7 linked regions of the Daphnia pulex genome follow. The protein of the gene in region 2 interacts with the protein of the main gene of each other region in a pairwise test. Links are inferred from orthologs where the notes say so. Each region holds a gene or a part of one and is shown on either strand. Other genes may lie near its edges. The genes, in order: LIM/homeobox protein lim-7-like, homeotic protein ultrabithorax-like, nuclear cap-binding protein subunit 1-like, protein mothers against dpp-like, 60S ribosomal protein L22-like, mothers against decapentaplegic homolog 3-like and myocyte-specific enhancer factor 2-like.

What was found.
Region 1: the proteins of homeotic protein ultrabithorax-like (region 2) and LIM/homeobox protein lim-7-like interact in a protein complementation assay, tested with the Drosophila melanogaster proteins (2 studies listed by BioGRID). The link is inferred for Daphnia pulex from reciprocal best matches to the Drosophila melanogaster genes Ubx and tup.
Region 3: the proteins of homeotic protein ultrabithorax-like (region 2) and nuclear cap-binding protein subunit 1-like interact in binary tests that used the Drosophila melanogaster proteins (3 or more experiments, as listed by UniProt). The link is inferred for Daphnia pulex from reciprocal best matches to the Drosophila melanogaster genes Ubx and Cbp80.
Region 4: the proteins of homeotic protein ultrabithorax-like (region 2) and protein mothers against dpp-like interact in a protein complementation assay, tested with the Drosophila melanogaster proteins (2 studies listed by BioGRID). The link is inferred for Daphnia pulex from reciprocal best matches to the Drosophila melanogaster genes Ubx and Mad.
Region 5: the proteins of homeotic protein ultrabithorax-like (region 2) and 60S ribosomal protein L22-like interact in a two-hybrid assay, tested with the Drosophila melanogaster proteins (2 studies listed by BioGRID). The link is inferred for Daphnia pulex from reciprocal best matches to the Drosophila melanogaster genes Ubx and RpL22.
Region 6: the proteins of homeotic protein ultrabithorax-like (region 2) and mothers against decapentaplegic homolog 3-like interact in a two-hybrid assay, tested with the Drosophila melanogaster proteins (2 studies listed by BioGRID, with this or other methods). The link is inferred for Daphnia pulex from reciprocal best matches to the Drosophila melanogaster genes Ubx and Smox.
Region 7: the proteins of homeotic protein ultrabithorax-like (region 2) and myocyte-specific enhancer factor 2-like interact in a protein complementation assay, tested with the Drosophila melanogaster proteins (2 studies listed by BioGRID). The link is inferred for Daphnia pulex from reciprocal best matches to the Drosophila melanogaster genes Ubx and Mef2.

The regions. Positions count from the first base shown.
Region 1 is NC_060022.1:3,726,770-3,730,862, forward strand, and holds the start of LIM/homeobox protein lim-7-like, read right to left. Parts: upstream 2,801-4,093; 5' UTR 2,726-2,800; intron 2,558-2,725; 5' UTR 2,465-2,557; intron 2,266-2,464; 5' UTR 2,056-2,265; intron 1-2,055.
Region 2 is NC_060024.1:12,335,213-12,339,237, reverse strand, and holds the start of homeotic protein ultrabithorax-like, read right to left. Parts: upstream 2,801-4,025; 5' UTR 2,041-2,800; intron 1-2,040. UniProt on the Drosophila melanogaster protein: Sequence-specific transcription factor which is part of a developmental regulatory system that provides cells with specific positional identities on the anterior-posterior axis. Binds the consensus region 5'-TTAAT[GT][GA]-3'.
Region 3 is NC_060022.1:6,378,315-6,382,406, reverse strand, and holds the start of nuclear cap-binding protein subunit 1-like, read left to right. Parts: upstream 1-1,292; 5' UTR 1,293-1,416; coding exon 1,417-1,447; intron 1,448-1,512; coding exon 1,513-1,790; intron 1,791-1,845; coding exon 1,846-2,039; intron 2,040-2,106; coding exon 2,107-2,278; intron 2,279-2,338; coding exon 2,339-2,560; intron 2,561-2,620; coding exon 2,621-2,721; intron 2,722-2,782; coding exon 2,783-2,954; intron 2,955-3,018; coding exon 3,019-3,186; intron 3,187-3,246; coding exon 3,247-3,499; intron 3,500-3,558; coding exon 3,559-3,692; intron 3,693-3,758; coding exon 3,759-4,083; intron 4,084-4,092. Other genes in the region: uncharacterized protein LOC124196162, read left to right, coding at 1-147, 237-424. UniProt on the Drosophila melanogaster protein: Component of the cap-binding complex (CBC), which binds cotranscriptionally to the 5'-cap of pre-mRNAs and is involved in various processes such as pre-mRNA splicing and RNA-mediated gene silencing (RNAi).
Region 4 is NC_060025.1:5,190,921-5,195,171, reverse strand, and holds protein mothers against dpp-like, read right to left. Parts: upstream 2,801-4,251; 5' UTR 2,449-2,800; exon of another isoform or gene 2,418-2,448; intron 2,364-2,417; 5' UTR 2,356-2,363; coding exon 2,125-2,355; intron 2,008-2,124; coding exon 1,545-2,007; intron 1,456-1,544; coding exon 1,147-1,455; intron 1,079-1,146; coding exon 838-1,078; intron 769-837; coding exon 609-768; 3' UTR 61-608; downstream 1-60. Other genes in the region: pre-mRNA-splicing factor SLU7-like, read left to right, coding at 4,105-4,251.
Region 5 is NC_060017.1:3,719,769-3,723,566, reverse strand, and holds 60S ribosomal protein L22-like, read right to left. Parts: upstream 2,565-3,798; 5' UTR 2,422-2,564; coding exon 2,413-2,421; intron 2,090-2,412; coding exon 1,226-2,089; intron 1,163-1,225; coding exon of another isoform or gene 1,118-1,162; exon of another isoform or gene 1,050-1,117; coding exon 928-1,049; intron 760-927; coding exon 654-759; intron 594-653; coding exon 552-593; 3' UTR 501-551; downstream 1-500. Other genes in the region: syndetin-like, read left to right, coding at 1-59, 154-267.
Region 6 is NC_060021.1:6,119,682-6,123,824, forward strand, and holds the start of mothers against decapentaplegic homolog 3-like, read right to left. Parts: upstream 2,801-4,143; 5' UTR 2,509-2,800; coding exon 2,451-2,508; intron 2,087-2,450; coding exon 1,951-2,086; intron 1,884-1,950; coding exon 1,690-1,883; intron 940-1,689; coding exon 619-939; intron 552-618; coding exon 168-551; intron 106-167; coding exon 1-105. Other genes in the region: translin-like, read right to left, coding at 3,676-3,821, 3,888-3,969, 4,033-4,112.
Region 7 is NC_060017.1:4,807,588-4,811,574, reverse strand, and holds the start of myocyte-specific enhancer factor 2-like, read right to left. Parts: upstream 2,801-3,987; 5' UTR 2,616-2,800; intron 1-2,615. Other genes in the region: phenylalanine--tRNA ligase, mitochondrial-like, read left to right, coding at 3,085-3,165, 3,233-3,480, 3,542-3,770, 3,827-3,980. UniProt on the Drosophila melanogaster protein: Transcription factor that could be a key player in early mesoderm differentiation and may be required for subsequent cell fate specifications within the somatic and visceral/heart mesodermal layers.

The sequences.
Region 1 (4,093 bases), on a different chromosome or scaffold from region 2:
AGTAAAAAAAAGAAGAGCGACAGTTTGTATGGAATATGAGACGTGTCGACGTCGCCGGCCTATGTATGTGTGTGGATAGAAGAAGAAAAAGTGTCACAAGGAGGTCAGAGACTGTCAATAATCCTTCCGTCATCTCTCCGAGGACTCCGCCGGACAGACTCTGGTAAACAGCTCCACTTACCCTCCTCAAAACCTATTCCGACCGCACGACGTATGCTTTGTGGTGTCTACAGTGTGCTGTCCATCCATCAAACCGAACTGACATATAAACAACGTCAAAGTCTATCAAGAAGAATAACATCAGCATATTAGGAAGGAAAAAAAGGGATCTAATTAACCGATTGGTCACGTGTTGCTTCAATGGCCGTGGCTGAACGCGTGCCGTAACCATCACCGTCACATTTGAAACACGAAGGCGACGACAGCCAAGACAATCGACCAAGTCCATTACGGCGCGATACAAAAAGAAATTTGGTACAAGAGTTGCAACTGCTGGATGACTCTGCTGGAACGGCTGTACAAAAAGGCCTACGACGTGACTTTGATGGATATTGGGCGCATATGTAAAAAGGCGGTTCCAGTTATCAACGTCGAATTTCTAGCATGCTGGCAGAGAACAAGGTGGCAATAAGAACAGTCAACTGAATTCTATTTCCTCCCATCCGTGAGGCAGCTAAGCCCTAGCGCTTGCGCCGGCCGGCCCGATCGGAAACGGGCGTCCGAGTCGCGTGCCGATCGGCCGAGAGTCACGTGCCGGCGTTGACTGCCACTTCCGCACCCCACGCAAAAGAGAGTCTGTCCGTCCCCCCCATCAGTAGGACGCCTATAGACGCGTTTGATTCTTTTTACCGCCGCTGTCGATTCATATCGAAAAAGTGCTGCGACCGCACCGGTTTTGTCCCTCTTTTCCCGACCGCATCGAATCCAATCACCCCCCAACTCCCACCCATAACTGAAAATGTACCGCAACTAAAACTCGGCGCAATCCTTTTGCTCTCCCTCCGGTTCACTTGGCATTTTCACCTCTTGAAACCTACGCAGTGAGGAGGGGGGGACGGACGTGTGTGACGGGCACAAAATATGTGCCTATATATCAAAAAGGGTTAGATTATTATATCCTGTACGAATATAGGTTCCCATCCAGCAGCCACCGCAGCAGCAGCCGCCGCATAGTGTGGACAATGGATCGTGTATGGGGCCTTCCGCCTCTTTTTGACGGACTTTGTCGAGTGCTCGATGGATGGCTGCTTCATACAGCCGGAATCTATATCGATAATTAGCCAATTGTTCGGGCAGGAGAGACAACATTTCGGGAAATAAATGCGTGGGTGAAAAAGGGGGGTTCGCTTTCGCAGCAGTTCATACACTTTCGGCTTCAGCGTGTACACAAGTACGCTCTCATGATTGATCACACCTGCTCCCATTTGAATCTCGCCTGCAGCTATAGACGTTGAATATAAAATGATTTGAAAAATGATTTGAAATGTTGGAATGAAACGGCGGGTGGTCGTTCCACCGATATTATATAACCACGTAATAAACAGAGTTTTACGTTTATTGGCTATTGTTTTATTTTGGAGCGACTGGGTAGGGCCAAATAAGTCTGGCAAAATGCCGCTTTTGAAAAAGAAATAAAGAGGAAAGACACGACGTTTCAATTTCATAGTCAAATAAACCGACAAACATGGCCGAGTGCTATTTGTGGGACATTTCTCTATGCACACACCCGTAACCAGAACCCCGTTACGGGTGCCGGTGTGTGGCGTGTCATCAAACATTTCTAGGTTGCACTTTGCTTCAATTGTGTAAAGTTCAAATGAATTCGATTGTTTCTACCCACAGACAACGTTGTGAGGTACGAAAAACCGGGCCTGATCTGCAGTCGTTTTACAATTGAATTATTTGAATGGACCCTGACTGAGTCAACACAAAAGGCAAGAGAAAACAGTTGCAGTCAACTACCTAGCTCACGAATGATCTATGCTCCGTAACAATTTAGAATCAACGCCATCAAATAGCAAAGAGAAGGAAGAATAGAAATTGCATTTGTCCTACCTTAACGTCCGGGAATCCACAGCCAGGTATCCACAAGTGATTCACGCTGAGAAGTTGAATTCACCAACAGGAGGAAAAGGAAAAAGGGGGCCATCGTGAATACACCCACACTCGCATGGGCGTACACGAGGACATTTAAAAAAGAGGAAGAAGAGATCCGTAACACGGTCAGCATCGGTAGTTTCTCCAACCAAACGGGATGCTGTTTATCTAAATGAAAAATAAAAATTTTGTTACGAAAAAGATTGGCAGAAACATCAACTTCACATGGGGAATAGTTGATAATGAGACCATGGGTAAACCGTACTTTAATAAATAGGAGAATTGAAGGTTTTCATGTAATAAAAGGCATTAATCACTAAAATATCTAAAAGGTAACAGGTTGATAAAAGTATCGAAAAAACATTACCCAAGGGATGACACTGAGATTACTTGCTGATGACATGTCCAGCACAAGCGAAACATGTATATCTTGTGGTAATGTCTGGCTCAGGCCTCACATCTGCACAAAATAAAAGGTAATATAGTTTAAACAAACTGCCATGCATTGATAGAGGGCTTTCATCATTAATGCTAATCATGAACTAATATTTCACACAATTTGGAACAAGTTTAACTCTTCTATTTAACTTCACATAATCATTCTATTTTAATTATTAGTTTAATTTACCTGCTAAACAGCATGGAATGTGTATTAAACTATTCCATAAATAACCTCGACCAGATTTGACGAGAAGACGTACCACATGTTTACAACGACGTTTCCCTCCAAAAAAGACAATGAAGCAGACGACACTAATATTCTAAATAGCAATCTGATAAGATATCGATCGAAATTAAAAATCGACCTGCCCCCTCTCTACAATTCAAGAGGAAGAGGGAATAAACTATTAAATCATACAAACATTTCAAACATTTCTCGTAGCCATTCAGCTGGAATCAAATAGTTTTTTAAACATTCCTTCCACATTTTCCACCTCCAATTTAGCGCCAACTTAATCCCGACCATAATCGCCTAATAGGTGTGCGCCCTGTGTGGGTGTACATGCAGTGCTTTCTAATGTATTTAGCCTCCCGCTATCTATTGATATACAGAAGAAAGGAAAAAAAAAATAACCTAACCTTGCGGATTATTGAATCAATATAAAGGCAACACACTGTCTAGAGGCGGCCTATATGATGCACATATAAACACACATCAGCGTCAGCCATTCTTTGACGGGATTATTCACGACCGCCCGCGAGGTTACTGAATCCAAACTATTAATAGCCAGACCCCCCCCCCCCCCCGTAATAATCCTTCGATATCTAAATTCCATTTCGCCATCTACATAATATATTTATAGACACACAAACGTCTGGAGATTTGCCAATGAATATACCTATTATTATCTCCTCCATTTGATTGAAATCGACAATCAATTTCAAAAAAGAAGCAGACTATAGAAAGAGAGAAGACTGTCGCCATCGAGGCTAAATAGATGATTGCTGATGGATTTTTCTGTACATATAAAATATATTAACTGCTATCTGAACTGATCCAGGCGCGACCGAACGACGACCTCAATGGCCAGTTGGTCGCTGAGACTGCATGTTACATAAAGTGTCACACACACACACACACACATCTATGCAGCTGATGTCGTGCTGTTGTTAGTCAGGCGAAAAAAAAAAAATAACCCACCCCCTATGTGTGTTATATACTACCACCATTCGTGTGCTGGCCTTCCTGCGTCTATAAACCACACACACAAATAGAAGAGGAAAGAAGAAGAAGAAGAGTATAGACATTGGTAGACGACAACACGGTCCGTCCGACAGCAGACACAGTGTCGTGATGTACACGTAAAAGCTTCGGCGCCGGCCGCCCGTTTGTGTTGCGCCAGCCCCAGCAAAGAGAAAGAGGCTCAACTGGCTGACGGCGTATACAAGAGCCAATGGCGTCATCAGTTCAGCACACAAACGGACATCACAGTCTCCAGCTCAAGAGATAGATGCGCCCAGGGTTCTCTTTCGGCACAGCTGCTGCTGGCTGCTG
Region 2 (4,025 bases):
CTTCTTTCTCTTCCGACTCCTTCCTCTGTTTCTTTCGACTTGGGAAATATTTATGGAGACAAGGAAACCATCCGTAGTTATATCTGCGGAACGGAACTCTCGTCTTCTGCCTTCTACTCGGCTCCCATAGCTATGGGACTCTTGTTTTTTTTTCTTTTCTATTTTCCGCGTGTCCCGGCAGCTTCACGCAGCCCTGATCACGGCCCCCGCAATTCATTATATTTTATGTATTTAGTATACGGCCTATTATTATTATGATTATGATTATTATGATTTCAGTTTGACGTTATGTATAACATTTTCCAGATAGCATATCCCCCCTCCCGACCTCACGCGCCGGATGTGAGGAACTATACAAGAAGAAGAAGAATAAACAGTGCAGTCATTGAGAGCTAGCGAGCTTCGGCGGAAATGGTAGAAATAGTAGGCCACTAGCAAGTATATATCCCAACTGTACACATGTGTAGTTATGGGCTGGCTAGGCAGTAGCTATAAGATTTCTGTATTAGATGTCGTAGAGTAGACAAACACCACCACGTCGAAGCCACCGAACTGAAGAAGAAGAAGTCGACGACGCCCAGATAATTATCATGATTATATTCGTACGCTCTGAGTATATGTAGTATATATACGTACGTATGTATATACTGGAAGCATTAACACGCATATTTCTCTGGCTGTATGTATACTACTCGAGTATATATGCACATCGCGATGTGGATATACATTTCAGTCAACATGTATTTATTTATTTGGTCATTTAAATGAGAAGGAAAAAGAAAACACGGACTGTTGGGGCCGTGTGTGGGAAATGGAACCGCCGCCGCCGCCGTTGTGTAATGTTGTTACGAAACGCGACTTGTGCGTAAAGACGGCAAGAAATTGGGCAGCCAGCAGCAGCAGCAGCAGCTCTGACTAAATTACATATTACTGATATTTCTTATGCGTATAGAGAAGTGTAGGTTTTAGTATAGCCGTCGACGTTGCTGGGCGCTCTCTTTTCACTCTACTGGAGTCATTTTTGTTTGGTTTGGTTTTTTTCTTCTTCTCTTGCGGCCGCCGCTCCACCCCGTCCGGTCCTATATAACATTCACGCGGCATACTTGGCTTGACTTTGCGCGCCGCTGTGTCTGTGTTTGTCTGTTTGTGTGTCGTCTCTTCTCTAATCTACACACGTAATTTGGGCGTCGTGAGTCGACACCAACCGAAAGTCACTGGGAGAGAAGTTGGAGAAGAAAGGAAAGACGGGCAAAAAAATAAAAAGGGATAAATACTTCGTTATGCCGACGCTGGCTTCCCAAAAAAAAAACTCGCACCAATAGTCACGAACGGAGGAAGAAGAAGAGAAAAAAACAAAAACAAAAAAAAAACATCGACCGCAGTTTGTTTTCTTCGTTATTCCCCGGGAAAAAATAAAATAAAAAGTAAAACAATCATCAATACGCGTGTGCTGGCTTGCTGCTATTACCAAGAATGATTTATCCAAGTCGGTTTTTAGTAGGCTACATGTATGCGCAGACTAGATAGTATATCCTATACGGTGACCTTTAGGCCTATTTCGGTGAGGGGGGCTCCTAATGATCTTTCGAAGCGTTTCAGCGGTTATTCTCGATACCAACAAATTGAATCAACAAATATATAGTATATCGTTAGTTGACTTTTCGAGAGAGAGAAAATGGTGAAGAATGATAGGCCTGTAATGTGTTTTGGGGTAAACAGTTGGGCACAATTCGTCACAAAGTGCTTTTTAAAAGTTTTTTATTAGCCATTTGAACCGCCGCCTTTAGCGTTAGGCCTACAACTCCTGGGAGGCTCCTTGAACATCGCCGCCGAGTCCCTTTTAACTTTTAAAAACCACCCAAAAAATGTTTTTGAAAAATTTGTAACTGTGTTGAAATCGACGATCCAACTGCTGTTTTGAGAGTCAATCTATTGGTCGGTGCCAATCGCTCGGAGTTTGGCGATAAGGTTATTCGCTAATGTATGACTAGCGCGGGAAATTATTTTTTAAAAGGAGGATAAAAAGAACTGTGAACTCACCCAGGACTTTTTGCGGCTCTTAGTTGCGTTTTCTTTTGCCGAATCTCTTGTGGAAATGAAGCGATAAAATAAGGAGAAAGAGAGAAGAAGACGGCGGCGGAGCAGGAGGAGGGAGTAGTCGCGGTTTGCGTAATCCGTTGGCGTCGGGCGTGGAAATGGCCGTCCTTCGGCGTCGTCATCGGCCCGGCACTTTCCGCTCAACCAACAGACAGGAAACTCGCAATTTTCGACTCCTCTTTCTCTCTTTCTTTCTCTCTCTCTCGACTACCTCAACAATTTTTTCTTTTCTGGAGGCCTCGAAACACAGACACACACTCACACAACACACGCACGAAAAAAGGTAACAAGGTCCGCACTTGTGGGAGCCAGACGGATGGATGGATGGATGCCGATAATGATTGCGACGAAATATTTTCGGATGTCCAACGTTGTTGTTTTTTGTTGGGTTTTTTCTAGTTGCACCTGAACGATCACCAACTCACTGACTGGGTTATATATTGAGACTAGCTATTAACTAACTACTGTGTCGTCAAGCGCTGCTGGACGGACAGCGCTCCACTGTCTGCGAGTCCATCAGATGGACGGAATGGGCAACGAAACTTTTTTTCGATCGGGTTTTGACTTTGATTTTTTTGAAGGACAATGTCTCTGTGATCGAGCTGCTCAAAACATTGTGATCGGTCAAGCCTCAGAGTCGGAACTGATGTGATTGTGAGAAGGACATGCCACGGCCGATCAAGGAGGAGTCGCTCAAGAATGTGGCGTGTCCTTTTTTCTATTTCTTCTTCCAGTTCTTCTTCTGGTGGGGAAAGTTATACAAAGATGCTGGAGATGTTATTGGGGTTATACTCCGAAGGAAATTGTTACAGCCGTTCTTTTTTTTATAACCCCCTCTTTCCAGCTAGAGAAGTTTTTACCCCCTCGTCTTCGGCTGTGTGAGTCTGTGACGGTTATATTGCGAAGAATTGGGGGGTCAGTCGGGTGTTGCGTCGGAAGAAAAACGGGTGATATCGGGGGGGACCTCTTGCATAGCCACACGGATAGGATAGATGTATATATACGTGTATAAAAGGGTCGAAGGACACACAGAGTCAAAGAAGGGATATGCATTTTTTACGACTCTTTGGCTTCTTTGCTCTTCTCCGCGTTTTATTGGGAAGAGGAGGATGCCCACCCCAAATAAAAATTGGCCAGGGCCTATATGGTGTGTGTGTGTATGCGCACTATGTGTGTGTGTGTATGTGCCGGTTGCGCCCAACCCATGGTTGTTTTTTCGGGGGGAGACCCAAGAGAAAAGAGATAAGGGTTACGTTTTAGAGCAGTTATCCGCCGCCAAGACTGTCCCTTTTCTTTCCTTCTTCTTCTTCTTCTTGCCTTCAATTTTTATGTTCCATCCTTCTCTTCTTTTTGGGGTTATATATATCCAGCGCAATACACAAGAAAGAAAAAAGGTTTCTTTCCCAATAACAGGAGAGATTGTATAACTCTTAAGGGAAGGCCCATAGGAATCCAATATATGAATATACCACCACCACTCTCTCTCTCGCTCTCTTGGTAGATTTTATACAAGGGGTTATATTGGTGGGGATCCGCTATCCAGCCCCCCCTTTTTTCAAACTCTTGTCGCTTTTCTAGGCCTAAAATATAAGACACGTAGTATTAAGCTTACACACAAAGTCTGCTGGATGTGTCGTCCCCCCTATTTTTTTTTACAACTTGGATTCGGCCTTCGAATACAGCCGGAGAGAGAGTTAAGAATTTGAGTTGAAACATTTTGGGAGGCCTACATAACCCGCACTGGTTATGTTTTATTTGATTTTTTTCAGTGCAGCAACTTTAATTTGAGGGGGAAGGAAAAACAAAATAATAAATATAGAAAGTAATCTATGACTCCTTGTATTTTCTCTTTTTTTTACAATTGCATCTTGTCATGCCAAAAGAAAATTCAAGACAATTACAAGTTACAATTGCTATCGCTGTATTTT
Region 3 (4,092 bases), on a different chromosome or scaffold from region 2:
CAGCGGAATCTTTATCCACCAGTTCAGTGAATAACAGTAGTGTCCCATCAACAACAAATCCTGCTGTGGAGAAAAGTGTGAATGCGGGCCGTAAACGGGCCGAGAGCACACGTACAAGAGACTCAAGTACGAACAATTCTTTACCAGGTATGGCTCATGTGGTTGTTAGCATACTTCCATTCACCATTAATTTTATTATTCACTCTTCGTTTTAATCATTTCTTTTTGTATTGTAGTCAATGCAGCGGAATCTGTAGGCCTATCCACTAGTTCAACGGATGACAGTTATTGTGTGTCAAGCAATCCTGCAGGCTTAATCAATGCCGCTCATCAAGCTGATGTTCGTTCCATTCCATCCACAGTTTGCACTACGAGCCAAGTTGTGAATTGTAGCCAAGGTATACGGACGATTCGGCAAATTTGACGTTTGCCGAATTGGTTTTTGCCGAATTGGTTGACTTTGTTATTTTCCCGAATCGTACATACCAATTCGGTAAAAAGCCAATTCGGCAAAATTGTTTAAAATGCCGTTGTAAGGCCAGTGGCGCTAGCTGTGTGGGTTTCGGGTAATCAGCGCCACCACCAACACGCGAATTATACTGTCTTTCCCGAGAGATCTTTGAGCCCTTCCCGACATAAACACAAAACAAAGTGGAACCTGCTTTAACTGCCCATTCTTTTTTAGAAAACCATGGAGGGAAAATAGTTGAGTGAAAGGGAAGTTTATTATTTTAAAGGTTCCGTCGGCATACCATCGAACGGCAGTTTTCAAAAGCGCTAGTTGTTCGTCAGTCATGAAAATTAAATGACGTTTAGAACCAACTACAACTTCTCCTTTAAAAAACGAAGTGGGCATTAAGTCCATTTTGATTTGAAAAAAAAGATCAATTGGGTTTTTAGCAGTGCGCTTTGCTTTTACCCGATTTACAGCCCTAGCTAACGTTGTGGGGTTAATTGGGTTCCACAGTATTTGCCGCCAATTTACATTTGCACAGTTGCCGAATCGACTTTTGCCGAATCGGTAATTTCATAGGTGACAATTCGGCAACTTTGCCGAAACGGTTTTCGGCGATTTGCCGAAATGGTTTTTGCCGAATCGTCCGACATTCGTAGCCAATTTCACCTAAATTGAATTCAACAAATCCCATTTTTGCGTGAATTTAATTCAATTCAGCTGAATATAAACTGAATTGAATTTTTGCGCCAAATTGCGTTGCCTAAAATAAACAATTTTTACAGCTACGTTGTCAAGTTATGTAAACTATTTTCACGATCATCGAAGTTTATGATTTCATCAATAGATGGCGTCAAATTAACAGCTTCTTTAATAGCTCCATATGACAAACAGTCAAACAGGGTGGTAGTAGTTTGTCTGTCTTGTAAGCGTCGTAGACCAATTTAAAATAAAATCAAAGAATGAGTCGTAGGAAACGTGATGATGGATATGGTAAGGATTACAACTTATTGAAGAATTTGATGACATTATAAAAAGTTATTTGTTTAAAATTACAGAACATGGGTATCGTAAAAGGCGCAGAGTTGTCTCGGAGCAGGCAGAAATTGAAGACCGGTTAGAATCTCTTATTATCAGGGTTGGAGACAAAACGTCATCATCTTTAGAAAGCAATTTAGAAGGGCTTGCTTCAGTATTAGAAGCTGATTTGAACACGTACAAGAGTAAAATATTACGTATTTTGTCGGAATGCCCAATCCAAATGCCAGAGAAATGTACTATCTACAGCACATTAGTTGGTCTTCTGAATGCTAAAAACTATAATTTTGGAGGAGAGGTTTGTTTTAAAATTGTACTTTCAGTTTTTAAGATACAAGTATATCTTTTTTTAGTTTGTGGAACAAATAGTGAGAAACCTAAAAGAAGCTCTCCGTGAGGGGCAATGGGAATCTGCTCGTTTAATTGTACGTTTCATATCTGACATGGTCAACTGTCACATAGTCTCTGCCTCTTCCTTGCTACAGTTATATGACAGTTTTATTGACGCTGCCATGGAACAAGGAGTTCCTCAGGTTCGACGAGACTGGTAATTAAATTTTTGTTTTATTCTAAAGCAAGAGTAATGTAGATCACAACACTGTATCAATTTACAGGTACATGTATGCGTTGTTGACGGCGCTTCCTTGGGTTGGTCGAGAGCTTTTTGAAAAGAAAGAAAATGATCTTGAACGTATAATGGCAGCAATGGAAGGTTATCTTCGCAGAAGAAATACTGCTCATGTCGCTGCTCTTCGAGTTTGGAATTGTGAAACTCCGCACCCACAGGTCAGAAATGGCATGGCATTTTAATAATAATTGAAAAATTTCGAAAAACGTTCTTTCTAGGAAGAATACCTGGAATGTCTTTGGGCTCAAGTACGGAAATTGCGGACAGACGAGTGGCAGGAAAGACACATTTACCGTCCATATTTAGCTTTTGATTCTATCCTCTCTGAAGCTTTGCAACACAATCTCCCGGTCATTCTACCTCCGCCTCACACAGCTAGTACGCAATATCCGCTACCATGGGTTGTTTTCAGGATGTTTGATTACACTGACTGTCCAGAAGTAAGTTAAACGCTTTCAAAAGTGTGTATCGTGCGTATTTAACTCGGGACTCATTTTCAGGCTGGTCCACTTTTACCAGGAACTCATTCAGTAGAGCGTTACTTGATTGAGGAACATTTACACCAGATCATCACTCGTCATCATAACGAACGCAAGGAACTGTGAGTTTCAACTTGACAGAAACGTTTGTGCAGATAATAGTAAATTAATTTTGCTTTTCAGAGCCACCCAATTGTTGGCGTTCCCACAGAGAAATAAGATCCCTTTGGAATACATGATAGTTGAAGTTCTCTTCTCAGAACTTTTCCAAATGCCTTCCCCTCGTTACTTGGAGATTGCTTATGGTTGTACTTTGATAGAACTTTGCAAGCTTCAACCAAGTACAATGCCTCAGGTGAAAATATGATCTTACAGTAGAAACTTGAACATTTTCATTTGACTTTTTATTTCACAACCAGGTGTTAGCACAGGCTACGGAGTTGCTTTACGAAAGAATTGATACCATGAATGCCACCTGCTTTGATAGATTCGTTTCTTGGTTTTCTTACCATCTCAGTAACTTTCAATTCCGCTGGAGTTGGGATGACTGGCAGAATTGTCTTTCACTCGAAAAAGACCACCCCAAGGTAAATGTTTAAAAAAATGAAATTTTTCGAAATCTATCTAAAGGAACACTTAAATTTCAGGCAAAATTTGTTTCTGAAGTGTTCGGGAAATGTTTGAGACTCTCCTATCACAAGCGCGTGACTGAAATGGTGCCTGAATGTTACTCACCGCTGTTGCCCCCGAAACCAGAACCGTACTTTAAATACCAAATTGAAGGAGGAAATGGTTTTCCTGGGGCTGCTCAAGTCCAGACTTTGACTGAGCTCCTAAGAAAAAAGCCAACGCCTGAAGAAGTACTAGAGTTGGTCCAGCAACTACCGAATCCTCTCAAAGGTAAATATGGTGGATACAATATGTATAACTTCAAGCCATTTTGATGCAATTGTAATTAGATGACGACGGGGATATGGAGCCTTCACACAATCCTCTAGCAATTGAAGTATTTGTTCAGACTCTGCTACATTTGGGATCGAAGAGTTTTACGCATACTTTTGCAGGTCTCGCTAAATATCATTCAGTCTTCAAGGTATTTTCAACAGATTGAAATGTTATCGATAGTATAAAACGATTCAATTTTACGTTTCTGTCATAGAATATTTGTGAGAATGAAGAGGCACAGATCTGTATGCTTCGTCAAGTTTATGAGCTCTGGCAACACCACCCACAATTTTTAGGAGTGGTAGTTGATAAGATGTTAAAGACACAAATTGTTGAGTGTTGTGCCGTAGCAAATTGGATCTTTTCACGAGACATGGCACCCGAGTTCACTCGTTCGTACATTTGGGAGGTCTTGCACTTGACTATTCGCAAAATGAACAAACACGTCGTCCGTCTAGAGAAAGAGGTGGCGGATGCACGCGCTAAACTCAGAGCTGCACCATCTGATTCGGAATCATCTGATGAAGATCCATCTAGAGGTGCGAACA
Region 4 (4,251 bases), on a different chromosome or scaffold from region 2:
AAAGCTCTTCTCGGTGGACTATTCCAATTCGGGAAAAAAAAATGAACACATAAAACCTAATAAGATTTCGTCATTTATTAATAAAATGGTACGAGTACATAGTTAAAGAACAATTTTGAACGTCAAAGCACATAATGAATCTCTACCATTATCAAAGAATTGTCATTCACCCTCATGAAAAATCAATCAGCAAGAATGTTGTTTTAAAATTGATGTTTCCCTTTTTAAGTGGTTGGATCCCACACTTCGAATTTTCTTCAAATCCAAATGAGCAAACTCGGAGAATATGGCACATAATGTTATAATGGTGTCCCTATCCGAATAGATGAAAAACACGAAAACTTGTCGCTAAAGGAAGTTAACATAAAAAAGCAGCATCCCTTCAGTTTACATTAAAGGGAGGTGAAAGCAAAATTTACTCACAATTTAATATTGATGTGTGAATTGTTCAACAGTGAAAAATAGACTATCGGCATTGAAATATATCCGCAACAAGGCTGCCACATATCTACGTTCGTCTCACACTGACGCAGCCTTGCTTATTACCGTAGATTGTCGTTGATAAACAAAATAATTCCCATGATAAAACACGATGCAGGTTGAAAGCCTTATGAGACAGATGAAATAGGATTGTGCGGTGAGCCCATTTGAGTGAGAACTTTATCCAGCCATTGCAATGGTCCATGAAGATGAATTTCTATCCAGCATGGCGTACTTGTAACATCTTGACGGTGATATTCGGCACCCCACCCTTTGACGAACGACATCCTGAAAGGTGACAATTCATAACATGTCGATGAATGAAATACAATTTAGCGATTGTGTGCTAATAGCTACCTTATTGTGCACATTTTGGTGAGCTCATAGACTGCTTCAAAACCATGATTGACTGATTGTGACAGAAGCTGAGCAAATTCCTGGTTGTTGAATATTTTAAGGGAACATCCAGGAGGAATCTTGCATACAGTTGTGGGATGAAATCCATGATGGTGATTGCAATTACGTGACTGAACAAATATAGCAGAGTCGGATAGACATTCGGCATAAACTTCACCTCCAACGTAATACAAGTGAACACCTAATTGGAATAAAATTTATTATTATCACAGTGAAACATGGTAAATAAAGCTAGATGCTAGATACAACCTTTGCCAATATGACGGCGCGTATTTTCGATGGTTGAGTTACGATTGACATTCGAGAGTTGACCAAGACAGAAACGATCAGATTTGTTATCAGGATTTGTAAATCCATCAACAATTATTGAATGAGATTGGGCGTGGAATACTTCGCCAACTCGAGAGTTCAATTCATAATAAGCAATGCTGCACCAATATATGGGTTCTTGGTAAGCCACAGGAGCAAGGTCTCCCACTGGTCCCTGTGTTGTATCCATGGGTTCCTGGGATGAAGCATTTTCATCATGGGGACTGTAGGCTGGTGGTGGAGTTTCAGCTAAATCAAATGAAAATACACATACAAATTAATACATGCAAAAGATTCTAGTGTTGGACAAAAATGATTTAATGAATGTTTCCTCTGACCTGGTAAACTGTTGTAAGGGCTGTTTGGGGCAGGACTTGAAACATTGCTCATGGGCGACGTAGGATTGGGACTAACAGAAAGGGTACTTAATGCACTTGTCACAGGCCTCTCCATACTTTTAGTGCTTGAAGGTCCAGGTGCTTGAGTTAAGCCAACAGATTGGTTTCCAAAACCATGAGCTGAGTAAGAGACATTATGAGGCATTGCTGGTTCAGGTAGCTGTTGAAAAGGTAAAAGTGAATGTCCGGGAGCAAATTCTGAATGTCTTGGCACAAGAACAGGTGGAAGCACTGGACTTTCAACTCTTTTGTAATGATAAGGATTAATGCAAACTTCCTTTTGCTTAGAGGAAAATGGATATTCACAGATTTCTAAGGGTTTTAATTCATGATGAGATTGCAAATCAGGCCAACGCCACACACGGCAGTAGATCACATGAGGCAAACCTTTCCTGTGTGAAACCTGGAACACAATTGAGAAACATGTAACTTTTTACAATTAAAATAGCTAGAGGATGAAGAACAAATGACAAAAAGTCAGTAGATGCAAAATTTTAAGATAGCATCAAGTACTCTTTACCTGTAATCTACCATCTAAACTTCTTGGAATAGTAACACATTTACTCGGTTGTCCAGGACAACTAAGTGCTTTCTCCAACTCTTCTATGGCACCCTTCTTCTTTTTCAATTTTTTTACCAAGGAGTCAACAGCTTTTTCAGCCCATTTTTCTTCTTCATCTCCTTGTTTCCAACCAAGCAACTTTTTCACTGCTGGGCTTGTAAATGAGAAAAGGCTGTTAAGTGCAGACATCTTCTAATCTGAAATTGTAAAAAAATAAGTCATCAATCACATTAAATTTAAATTCTTTAAACCTCAATGAATCAGGATGTTCGAAGTTATTACTTGCCACTCTCCAAAATGATGTATAATTGACGCTAAATTGTTAATTGCAGGTGGTTCCAGAATCAACAGTTTACAACGTGTCAACGCCTCTCCAAATATCTGTTGAGCGCTTGCCCGCTTTTAACCTCAAGCTCTGCGCCTCTGCCTCAACCTCAAGTATACTGAAGCGAAGGCAACAATTTTAAAATGACAATCACAACAACGTATTCATACTAGTAACTGCGCGAATACTAAATTGATTTTTGTTCCAAATCTAGAAGAGATGCATTAAAAAGTTGGGAAATTTTTCATAAAGAATGGCATGACGCACTTCTGAAATTACATAAACGTAAAGTGTGGCATCGTAGCACAAAATTCGTTCGATTTTTGCTTTGATCGATTAACAACAAGAGACGTTTTTTTCTTGCTTTTTGCTTTGATAAAATGATGCTGATATAGGCCTAGTAACAACTGTTCTATACTCGATAAAAACCTAATTGCAAAAGCATTTGGAATTTTTAGTGCATTATGAACTGTATTTATAATCTTATAAAATAAAATAACGAGAGTTAAAAGACCAAAATCGATTATTTAATCGCGATAATATGTTACAACAAATTTTCAAAGTATTTTCTGGAATTTCAGATTCAGCAGCACAGGGAATCGAATGTTTTCTCAAGTCAAATTATTTAAAATATAATAAATTAAAATTAATTTATTGAGTAGTTAAGCCAAATCATTTATCTGTTCAGTCTTAATATCTTAATGGAGGTAATGGGGCTTAATTGTGTAACGACATAACGAGGGGCGGAAAAACAACAGACCCAAGAGTACCGTATTCAGTCTAGTGCTGTAACCACTAGCACAAATTATTTTCACAAAATAGCAAGGTTATGGGGAACATTCACGAAGCTCCAATTTTTAGTGACTATTAAATCTAACGTAACCCGTTATCCTTATCAGCCGCGCGCCGTTACGTATGAATCGCAAACAAAGATGCGTAAAAACCATTCCGAAGATTCAATATTTTCCCGTATGAAACGGCGAAACGCACAAGAAAAGCTACTCTACATATAGACATCCGCTAAATTACGATGTTCAAATCAACTGGGAAAATGATTAAAATCGTCCCTGTCGTTCAGCATTGATGGATTTATGGTCTAAACTTGAGATGGCTCACATTTTTTAAAAAAGAGTATAACAAAAAATAGAACTTGTTTTTAAAAAGTTGTTTTTTCCCGCGACCATTTTTAGCCAACTTTATTATTATAAACGTTTTCACTTTTCAGCCGAGCCGCCTCAATCACTTTTATCGAAATGTGAAATGTTAGTTCTGATCCTGAACCTGACTCCCTGAGACCCTGACTGAACATACTCGCTTGAGGCCTATTTATGCGTACAAAAAGTAAAAACAAGCAACCCTGCAGGCAGCAGGCTGCATGAAGTACTCCTGCAGTCCTGCATTCCGCACCCACACTTTATCCACTTCCCCTTATGTGTAGTCAGGTGTAGTGTCGTGGAGTCGTAAATTCGTGTATCGCAATAACAATCAAAGGAATAAAGGATTGCTTGACAAACGAACATTGCAAACTGGTTCATTTCACACCAATTGTTAAAATTGTAGCACATGAATTTTATCAACTTCTTTTACTCGTTGGTTTGAAAAATTTTCCTAAAATGGCGAACACTCCAAGTTTACCAGTTTCGCTGCTAATAGCTAGCAAATCTCAGTCTGTAGGTAGTGAACCTCAAAAGAAAACTCGAGAAGACTGGAGAAAGGCAAAAGAGCTAGAAGAAGCCAGGAAAGCAGGAACTGCACCAGCT
Region 5 (3,798 bases), on a different chromosome or scaffold from region 2:
ACATTAAAGCATATTATCTTCCCGAAAATGCATTGGAAAAATGGATCCAAGAACAAACGGTAATAATTTTGATTTGGTTTGAAGAGAAGTTTAGTTTGTTTCAGTATTGTTTAAAGTTAAAGCAACATAAAAATTGTATTGATCATTTTTCAGGAATATTCTCCAAGGCAGATGATGAATCTTCTCCAGTGTGTAAGTCAAGGAAGTAAAAAGATTCGTTTAAATTTGACCTCGTTTATGGAAGACTTGGACTTGAATCGTCGGTAACGTAAATGTTGCAATTAATCTTTACCGATAATACAAGTTATGTGTAATAATATCAACCAGAATTTCCGTGTCAAAAGGTTATTCCATTCCATCATTTAACTGTCACCTTATATCAGGAATTTAAAAACTCGATTGGTCTATCGCAATTATTTAACTACTTTAAAACCAACTTGAACCTTTCGAATTTAACTAGAATAATAGTGAAATTTTCCACAATAATAATTGTACAAATGTCATGGCCATCGTTTATTACCAGATAGCAAAAACGGAACAAGAGAAACAGATTATTCCTTATCGTCATCATCATCCTCTTCTTCGTTGTTAATCTAAAAACAAAAACAAATTAGTTACGTTACTGGTACTATCACTTGATATTATTCACTTACGTTGAAATATCTGAGCTCGTACGAGGTCTTTCCGTTAGCAACGACTCGCAGCCAATCACGAAGGTTGTTCTTCTTCAAATACCGCTTCGTGAGATACTTCAAATACCTAATTTAAACATAAAATACTTATTCACTGATTTACATTTACCTACTAAAAAGATCAACAATAGTCTCAGAGTAGTCCACACATCAGTTTTCAGAGACTCTAGTTCGTTAATCTTATGGATATATCATCATATCAATTACTGTAATCAAACACCAGAACAACACATACCTCTTGGAGAAAGGAACATCTGAGGAAACAATGATCTTGCTCTTGGCCAATTCAGTTTGGATGTGGGTACCCAAGTTTCCAACTTTCTTGTTCAGCTTGATGTGCTGCTTCAAGTAGGTTTCCTGTAAACAAATAAGAGATCTTGGTCTTCACTGACTCTTCTAGGGAAGGTGACCCTAACAGAAACCCATTAAGGGAATCTAGAGTCCAACCAGTTAGGGAAGGTGACCCTAACCTATTGATCATTAGTACTTTGGAACATAAGTCCCTCAGTAATAAGATTTGGATAGCTACTTACAAAATCAGCTGCATTCATGATGCCATCTTCAACTGGGTGAGTGCAGTCGATGGTAAACTTGAGGTTAAGTTTCTTTCCCTTGTAGCCTTTTCCCTTGAGTTTGACAGCCTCCAGTTTCTTGGGAGTCTCCTTCTTGGCCTTTACTGCTGCCTTCAATGGAGCAGCTTTTTTCTCAGCTTTTTTCTCTGTTGGTTTCTTAGCAGCAGCCTCTGGCTTCTTGGGAGCTGCAGCTGCCGGAGCAGCCTTCTTCTCAACAGCTGGTTTCTTCTCAGCAACTGGAGCCTTCTTTTCAGCAGGGGCATCAGCCTTTCGCTTAGCTGGGGCAGCAGCGGCAGGAGCAGCAACAGGGGCAGCTTTTTTGTCAGCAGCACCTTTCTTGGCTGGGGCAGCAGCTTCTTTCTTGGCTGCTGGAGCAGGGGCAGCAGCGCCTTTCTTGGGAGCAGCAGCAGCAGCGGGAGCTGGAGCAGCCGCTGGTTTAGCAGCAGCAGCAGCCTTGGCGGGGGCAGCCTTGGCAGGAGCAGCTTTAGCAGCAGGAGCAGCCTTAGCAGCAGGGGCAGCAGCAGCGGGGGCTGCCTTTGCTGGTGCTGCAGCCTTGGCTGGGGCTTTGGCAGCAGGAGCAGGTGCAGCTGGAGCTTTAGCTGGTGCAGCTTTGGCGGCTGGTGCAGAGGCTTTGGTAACTGGAGCTGGAGCAGGAGCTTTAGCGGTTCCTGCAGCAGCAGCCTTCACTGGAGCTGGAGCTGGGGCTGCTTTGGCAGCAGGGGCTTTCTCAGCTGGCTTCTTTGCAGCAGCAGCAGCTGGGGCAGCTTTGGCTGCAGCGGGGGCCGGGGCCTTCTTGGGATCAGCAGATGCTGGTGCTTTCTTTGCCTGTTAAAAATAAGACACATTAACTTTCAACTTTAAACATGATTTAAACATGAGGCAAATGAAACTTCAGATTAATCCATTCAACATAAAGATTCAGAGACTCTAGTTCGGTTATAATGGATGTATCATCAGTTTCCCTAAGGTACTACCCACTCACACCACGTTGACAGCGTGGTCTATTTCAATATTCAATTAACATATATGAAAAACGTTAAAAAATATCAATAACTGAGCTACTTGCATATTACTCAATACATTACTTTCGTCTTGAGACAATTACCAGTCAATTTACCACGTATTTGCTAGTTTAAAAGTACTCTTACCGGCGACATGGTGATGTTCCTGATGCAGAAGCGAGATAAGTGAAAGAGTCTGACAAAAATGAGGATAGGAAGAGAAGGTGTAAAACGAGTGCTGCCACTTATTGTTCGTTACTATTCAATCCCTAAACACATGTGCGGTAGGGACTCAATCTGATTGCGCTCCTCGGTCAGACTTCATTAGTAGTGAAGTTAGTAAAGTTATGAAAAAAGATGATAACGTAGAATTAATCGGACATTTTTTACATGAACTTTGTAGTTATTTATGATAAGAACCGTTATTCAAAACCCTACCGGAAAATAAATAGTTAATTATTTCAAAAATATAGTGTATCTGTGTAGGTTCAATAACGACAAATATATGCAGCGGATTTTCTATGTGTTGAAAAATATCTAAAAGCAGAGATAAAAGCAAAAGCGAAAAACCATTCCGTACAGTGAATGTGTGTGGTGATATAAACGAATTCTCGTAACAATTATGAACAAAGTGTGACGTGGGGTAATCTAACCTCATTAGCCTCAACTCTTACTAACTATTTAATTCGCTTTATTATTTCGTTATTTTTTATTTTACATGTACATTTGTTATTTTTCTTATTATTTTATGTGTGATACATCTTCACCTATTTTCCTATATGGCTATATGCAAGCAGCGTGACTGCGTGAGCAGATGTTTTCATGGTTCACTCACGAACATATATTACCACTAGATGTCATTTTTCAAATCGTCAAAACACCAGTAGATGGCCCGAGGTAGTCGTTTCAAGTAGCTATATCCTTGACCAAAATAAAAAATAAAAATCGTTAGGCCTCTCCTTCGGTCCTGGGTCCTTTCCGTCTTATATGGTGCACGGTAGAATGGTGATTTTGCTGCCGTTGTCCTTATGCTTATAAGTTATAACTAACTTATTAATATATAGATAAAGTTAGTGATCCTTGAAGATACTGAATCTGAAATTATTATTCTTTTTCAAGAAAGACTAACCGAAAACGAAAATAATGAAGTGAAAAATGTAAAGGGGGACGTGCATAATATAGAAGAAAGACCAGTCTAAACAATAAATTTGAGTTGTAATTGCTTTCGGTCACGCTCATCGGACGGATGGGCGGCTGTCGTAAAAAATCGCGTGGTTGAGGAAAAACGAATAGCTGTAGAGAGTAGTATAGAGCGAGAGAGTAAAAAAGAAGAACATTAAGTATATATAGTCTCATCTCGGAAACGATCAACTCCATTCGATCCGCCCTCATCGAAATAACCGGCGTAGTATATACCGCCTAGACTCTAAAGTTCAAAGTTTTACACATTTAACTTTTTTTAAACATTGATGACTGTATATGTAGAAGAGTCGCCTCGAATGTCTGTTTAAAAATATTTAACCGCATTTAGCC
Region 6 (4,143 bases), on a different chromosome or scaffold from region 2:
TAGTGCACATTCTCGTCAACTGGTAAACAGCCTCAAAGCCTTGGCTCACTGACTGGGATAGAAGAGCGGCGAATTCTTGGTTGTTAAATATTTTTAAATTGCAACCTAAAGAAAAAGAAAACAATGATATAGCTCATTTCTATTTGATACCAAACGAACACATTTACCTGGTGGGATTTTACAAACGGTTGCTGGATGCCAACCGTAGCGCTGATTGCAGTTTGGTGACTGTACAAATATTGACGAATCGCTCAAACATTCAGCAAAAACCTCGCCACCAATGTAATAGAGACGAACTCCTTTCCCAATATGACGGCGAGTCTGCTCCACAACAGGATTACGATTCACGTTTGATAACAGCCCCAGGCAAAACCGCTCCGAGTTGCTGGGATCAGTAAAACCGTCAACGGTAATGGATGGCTGAGATGCATGAAAAGTTTCTCCCACGCGTGTGTTCAATTCATAATAGCTAATCGAACACCAAAAAGCCGGTTCGCAGTACATAACCGGTTGGGCGTCGATGGGGGGGCTGGGTGACACTCGGCTGACATCTAGATGTGAAAGGATAAGCATACATTATTACAGAATTTAGAATATGAATGAATATGAATGACTCACTCATTAAATCAGCGGGTTCTTGCGTGTCGCCATCTTCTGACATGTAACCTGGGGGAGGTGTTTCTGTTAATGGAAAAGTGCCGCCACCACCATCGCTTCCACCAATAGAAGCAGGACTAGGTGAATTCACCCCGGCGGTCGACATGATAAAGTCTGGACCGTCGGCTATCGATAACGGAAGATCATCCAACGAGAGCAGGTCTTGAATTGTGGCGACCGTGCTTGTCACAATTTGATGATTGTTATTGGTTCCTGGCGATGAAAGGTTGACACTGCTCACTCCAGTTTCCGCTTGGCGTGGTACCAAGATAGGCGGTAAAACTACACGGGAGAAATAAAGCCTTAGGTTTTTGGTTTTTGTAAATTTTTAAAAAGCAATTGGAACAGTGTCACTTGTTAGTCATATTAAATTGATGCGGGATACGAGATGTCTCACACATATCTAAACAAAATTCTAAGAAATGTCTAATAGAGTTTCATTTCTTTCAATTTATCGATGATAAAGTGAGATATGACTCACACTTAATTCAAAACAGATGTGCTTTAAAGTTGTAGCAACAAACGTTTAGTTTTACTTTACGACCGACAATTCTTTATGACTTCATTTCAGAGTAAAATTCCTGAGAACAGATAAGTATTTACAATAGGACACTTGTCACGCCCAAGGCGATGTAATATGTTTGAAGTAAATAGTAGCAAACTTTCCCAAGATTTTGTTTTTAATATTTTTTTTTTACTACTTTACTGTTTTTAGAGAGGGTAAATTTGATGAGCAATTTTCCAGCTAAACCTCATACAGTTTGATTTGAAGTACAAAGCCTGAAGCCCTATACAAATCAAGCTATGTATGTAGGTCTTCAACTTCAAAATGATTTGAATTACAACTGCTACTAACACATTATTAGAAAGTAACTTTTTACTGAAATGCAGTGAAAAACATGTTTTCTTTAAAATGATCAATCAAATCAGATCATTGAGCTTTCAAAACATAAAGAAAATAAACATCTTATTTAGAGTTGTTTGTTTAAGTTGTGTTTGCTTATTAAAAAACAAACATTGTGTAAAGTATACCTGGTGTTTCCACCCTTTGGTAGTGGTAAGGATTAACACAAACTTCGTCTCGTTTGAGCTGAAAGGCGTACTCGCAATTTTCAAGCGCATGCAATTCGTGGTGTGTCTGAAGATCTGGCCACCTCCACAGGCGACAGTAAATTACATGAGGCAGTCCTTTACGTTGGGATACTTGAAGACGGCCGTCTAAAGATCTGCAAAGATGTAATTGACTAGGTTAAATAGGTATAGATTGTTTATGTTATTTATCATGTTACATACCTTGGAATTGTAATACACTTTGTACTGGAACTTTGAGAAGTTACAGCTTTTTCCAGTTCATCTAAGCCACCACTTTTTTTAAGCTTCTTAACAAGGCTTTTGACTGCCTTTTCACTCCACTTTTCTTCACCTTCACCTTCAATAGAAAGGTTGAGGAGAAATTTGACATTTATTTAACACTTGGCAACTGATTGTGTCAGATGGATAAATGAAAGACCAATAAACAACTTGGCAACAGGAACAAAAATATGGTGTGTAAATGCTTCTACAAGAACTATTTTGATCTTTTCTTAAGTGTTGCATAATATGTTATGCTGTAGTAATCGTTAAATTCTTTGTCAAATCTCCCATACTCAAGAGTACCATTTTTACTACTTCACTAGCTGAAACTCTTTCCAACTGTGTTGAGACTAAAATGTGATTGTTTGTATCTATTTGATTCAACACTAAATACTATTTGAAAAGAACCAAAAGGTTACTGCCAAATGAGAAAAGCATACCTCGTTTCCAACCGAGCAATCGCTTTACTGGGGATGACAAGGGTATCAATGAAGTCATATTATAAGCAATACTTCACCATCACAAACTAGCCGAAACACGCATAAGCACAAAAGTCACAAAAAATCACTCGGCCAAAAGTAAACTTGAAATTCGATCTAACGAGTCACAATCATCATTGGGAGGTCAAAATCAAAATGATCGGACACGACACTCACGTTGCTGTGCTGTTGCTCTGCTAGTGCTAAGACTTCGTCAGAGAAGAAACCAAAACTACAACTTGACGGCACCCTAAGTTAATATTTGGGATCTGTTTCTCGAACATGAACGATAGGTGGCAGCACACCACATACTAACAGTGAAATATAAAGTTCGTTTCAATTTGAAATCTCATAAGAATATTTTCATTGTTACGTTATCGTTCGATTTGATATACCGTAATGACTCGGTTAGAGAAAATTAGAATGGTCCTTTATTGATTCTTCATTAAGTTGTTAGCATTAAAAGTCTAATACGTACATTTATCGCCATCTGCAGGAGGGGTTTCTAAATAAGCATTACCAAGGGCCTTTTTCATATAATGAACTAACAATTTCTTCCGTGTGCCATTCGTGTATCCATCCACAGACGTTTTCCTACGCAGACAAACTAGTTCTTAAGGATTGATCTCATGACAACAAACAGATTTAGATGCGACTGTGCTTTAAAGCGAATCAGAAACTTGCTTTTCGAATCATTTGCATACGAAAAAACAAACACAAATATTTAACAATTCGGAAAACTACGAATGAATGAATGGGAAAATACCTTAGCCGCGAGCGTGTCGACCTGAATAGCGGATTTCGGACGACGAGCCATTCAGAGTTGCAAACCAAATTTTTCACGCAAAATCGAATACCTTTATTCGACTTTGATTTTCTACTATGATGAGCAGTCGATGTAGACTGTCTAGTTAATAAAACCTATTCTAACGGTAATACACTTACCAATTCAACTAATGATTTTGTTATGTAAGTTGTTTTCATTTTAAAAAGGCGGATCCCGGTTAGTATGACATCATCGGAATACTATCCGTCGATTTCTCCGTTCTCATTACGTCAGCGATGATATAACGGGTTAAATAACAAACTAATTTTACGAATTCTTGAAGCATACATTACTTCGACCAGGAAATCACATTTAAGATTTTACATTCTTGGTTCACAACATTGAAAACTTAACGTTAATTCACTTGGTAATAGTAAGCGATCGACATCGAAGGCCACGAATGGAGAGATCATAAACCACTTCCTCGATTTTCTTCACATCATATTTAAGAGCATCAAATCTTTTGCGCAGTGAATCATTCTTCAGATTTAAGAGACGGAATCCACCTATAAAGTCGAAAAGAAAAAGTAGTAAAAGTTTATGAATCGTGGAGCGAGCAAATTATATGGTACCATTCAACTCGGAGACGAATCGCGAGATACGAATGGGCAAATCATAGTTTCCAGCAGTCACGCTATTTACTGCCAACCTAGACTGTGGAATAAATCAGAAATGAAATAAACTAATTCAAGTAATAGATTAAAAACAAGTTCAAACCAGTTCTGAAGCCAACTGTAAAAGTCCAGACAGATAATCTTCAACATCCAAATGGAAACCATCTTCCTCTTTTATGGATACTAAAAGACAAGAATAAATGCATTAAATTTG
Region 7 (3,987 bases), on a different chromosome or scaffold from region 2:
CCCCACCTCACGTTGACGATAACCCAAAATGAAGGTTGAACGTGAGCAAATGAGAGAAAACGCTTTATTGTACTCTTTTCATTTTGATTTCCTGCCATCCGCTTCTTTTCTTTTACCCTCAAAAAAAGAAGAGAAACCACAAACGACCTAACGGCTGAGAATTTTCGATTCGACCGACCGACCACTTATTGTTTAATATTTTTTGTTTCTTTTTCCTATTGAACGAGGAAGGGAGAGAGGGTCACTGGGTATATAATAGCAATAATAATGGTGAGTGTGGGACGATTTTCTACACGCCATTGACTGTACGCGGCAGCAAAAGGGGCTCGTGCGGGACCGTGAAAAGAAAAAAAAAACTGCTCCTAGCCGATGCAACAACAACCAAAAAATGGATGAAAAATGGCGCCAACGATTCACACACAAGAGTCAAAAGGCGGCGCCACTTTTCAGTTGGAGATACAGGTTACTGGTAGAGGAACGTGACAGTTGGCCACGCACTTTAAATCACTCGTGGAGGAACGGTTCACGCGGCGAAAAAAAAAAAAAAGGGCAAATACATAATACACAAGGAAGCAGGAGGATGCACAAGAACACGGAGCGGACGACAACACAAATTATCGATTTCTTCGCTCTAGAGACAAAAAGTCTGGGCGGCTCCTTTCAATTGCCTTTTGAAATCAAACGACGGGAGACAAGTTACATGGTTGCGCAAAAATAAAAAGGGGAAAAAACTCTCCAAAAGTTATCTTTGGGAAATGGCGACATTTTCCAACTTACAATTCGTCCCTTTTTTTCGTACTTTTCTTTCTTGTGTGTGTTTTCGTACGAGAACAAGAAAACTAGTCGAGCGAATCGTTTCGTTTTATCAAGTGCAGACGGCCATGACGCTAAAACATTGAGAGTCCATCAGCGTGTAGTGGCCAACGACTTGAACGTTGTATTTCCCTACGAAATGCTTTCGTGCACACACACACACACAGCACTCTGTGTGTGACGGATCAAACGAACGCACAAAGTGAAATAAAAAAAACTCGTTCAAAAAACAATGGAGCGGAATTGTTCGTCCGTAGGAAATTAAAAACAAAATTTTTTTGAGAAATTGTTTCTCAAGCTGCGCTAGTTTAAAAAAATATAAAACTGTGATTTTTATCTCACCTGTACTTTGGATCTTTTAATATACAGGTTTTTCTCATCTTCCCATACAAAATCATTTCGGCGTGGAACCTTGAAGCGAAAAAAGGGGGGGATCAGACAACAAAACGAGGGGGTTCAATTGAACGGAAAAGAGATGGAAGACTTTTTTTCTTTGACATTCTTCCTTTTAACAAAAAGAAAATATCCGTTTTGGTGAATACATCAAAAAGGAACTCGCATAAACCCCTTTTTTTTAACCCTCTACTTTTTTCGGGGGGGAAATGTTAAAAACAACATTTTGTATGTGCAAAAACTGCGACCCCGTAGGGTTGCAACCACCATTTTTCTTTCCGGAATGCATTTCAATAATAGCCGCTTATTTATTTTTTGAAAAGAAACATGAGGGGGTTGGTCCTCAAAGGGGTGTGGGGGTTTTTATTTTGTCTGTTGTTAGGCCCCAAAAATGGAAAGTTCATATAACACGAGGTTCAAGGTCGTTTGAATAATACACCGCCATCCCTTTCTGCGAAATTTATTTTTAAATGTACGTCTACGTACTAAAATAAAATGTGCAAGTAAGGCATTCATTAAAAATAGCCCTAATGCCCTATGCATCCATGTGCCTACCAACTGTAATATTCCCAAAGGCACCAATTGAATTACTTACAAAATTGGAAAAGAGGAAAATTGGAATATACCGAGAACGTTTCGCCGTTCTTGGCAGAGAGGCCACCCGAGGAAAGGGGGTGGGTCATTAGCATATCGATTACCAATGGTGTACAGTGAGGATACCCCGTTTCAGCAAAAAGTTTTGAACTGCAATTGCAACAGAAGATGAAGAAGAGCCTTTTTTATTTCGCCCCGAGGGCCTTCAGACGTTTTGTACCAGACTCGAGTCGATTCTGACAATGTCCGGCGAACACGATTCACGCTTCACAATGTTGTCGGTACTGTACCTCGTCACCCCGGCAACTCTCTTGCCATACCACACGAATGACTTAACAAGAAAGTCAAGGTCGACAAGATGTTGAGAGAAATGAACATTCTTATAGACACACAAGTAGGTGCTTTCTTTTTGTATAACCCAATCATCTTTCCATCTTGGGTGATTGAAATAAAAAGTGGCCTGACTGGATTAACAATCAACATTTTACACACACACACACACACACAAACTTAACATGTGCTCCCCCCCCCCTTTACACACCCAGAATTTTTTTCTACATACACCTGCTGGTTTTTAACCGATGAAACAATAACGACTTGCGTGTGATCTAGCCATCCCCAATAAAAAATCAACGTTCCAAAAAGATTGGGAAATATAGCAGTAAACTTGACTGTGTTTCTCGTGTATGTGTGTGCTGGTCAATGGACTAAATTTGTGTATGTGTGTGGCGGCCAACTCTTTCGCGTTGCTCCCGACACAGTCGTGCAAATATTCGATTGGATTTCGTGATTGACTGAAGCTTGAAAACACTTACCTTATTCGATAACTGACGGGGAGACAACACGCACTCCAAAGTGTAGAGGGTAACAAAAAACAAAAGTAAACAGCACTGTGTGTGTACGTTGTTTCACGATTAACCACAGCCCAGAATGGACAACAACACGTCTCTCTTCTCAGATCCCTTTACAACAAGTGCCAGAGACCGACTCCATTACGAGGGAGCCACCATCGTGTCTGAGCGGTGGCGCTGATGTCGTTCCTCGTCAATGGGAAATTTTTAATTTTGTTTTTATGATTCTTTTAAAATTTTATTTCATTTTGCATCGTATCGAATTTTGCAAATGAATCATTTTCCGCTGATTTGAACACTGTTTTATTACACTTTTTATCCGATTACTTTTTATTAATGTTGTGACTGCCATCTATCACTGTTACAGGAAGTTGGAATACATTTATTTACCATTATTGAATCCGAGTGATGAGAAATTTTACACGTGTACGTAATGACCCTGTTGAGGAAAAGTTTACGGTTTTTCGCTGTGCAATGTCGGAACTGTGCATCAAAATCTAGTCCAAATGTAGAGGTTGTATTTCATAAATTGAAAATGTGAGCCAATTGTATTTCATTTGTTACGTTGCACCCATAAACAGTTTACCGCCTCTACTGTTGACATCGATGGCAGAAAATTCAATCGGGACAAATGGACAAATGTCAATCCCAATATTTTGAAGTATCTCAACAGGAACTTGCACTTGAAACCTGGACATCCTCTGTGCCTTCTTAGAGAGAACATAATCTCCTTTATGTACAAATCGTTTCCAAATCACGCTGGCAATCCAATATTCTCTGTCTTCGATAGATTAAATCCTATCGTCACTACCAAACAGAATTTTGACAGGTTCAACCAACTAATATTTTTATTAATTGTCAAATTGCACTAATATATAGTGGTGATTCAGTTTGCTGATTCCTCAAGACCATCCAAGTCGAACACCCTCAGATTGCTACTACTTAAATAAGGATTTCATACTGAGGGGACACACTAGCTCTCATCAAGAAGAGCTGATTGCTAGTGGCTTAGATAGTTTCGTTGTCATGGGTGATGTGTATAGAAGAGACGAAATTGATGCCTCACATTTTCCAGTTTTCCACCAGGCTGAAGGTGTGAGACTGTTTGCCAAACACCAAGTATAGTTATTTAAAAATTTACATGGAATATAAAATAAATGTTTTACCCCCTATAGCTTCATGATATAGACAAAGAAAAAGTAGAGTTGTTCGAAGATGGAAAGCGTACTCCTCACAAGCAAGAATATCACACTGAATTAACTTCTGATAAACTCCAACATGAATTGAAAACTTGCCTCACCAAGTTAGTCCATCACTTGTTTGGCAATGGTAAGTG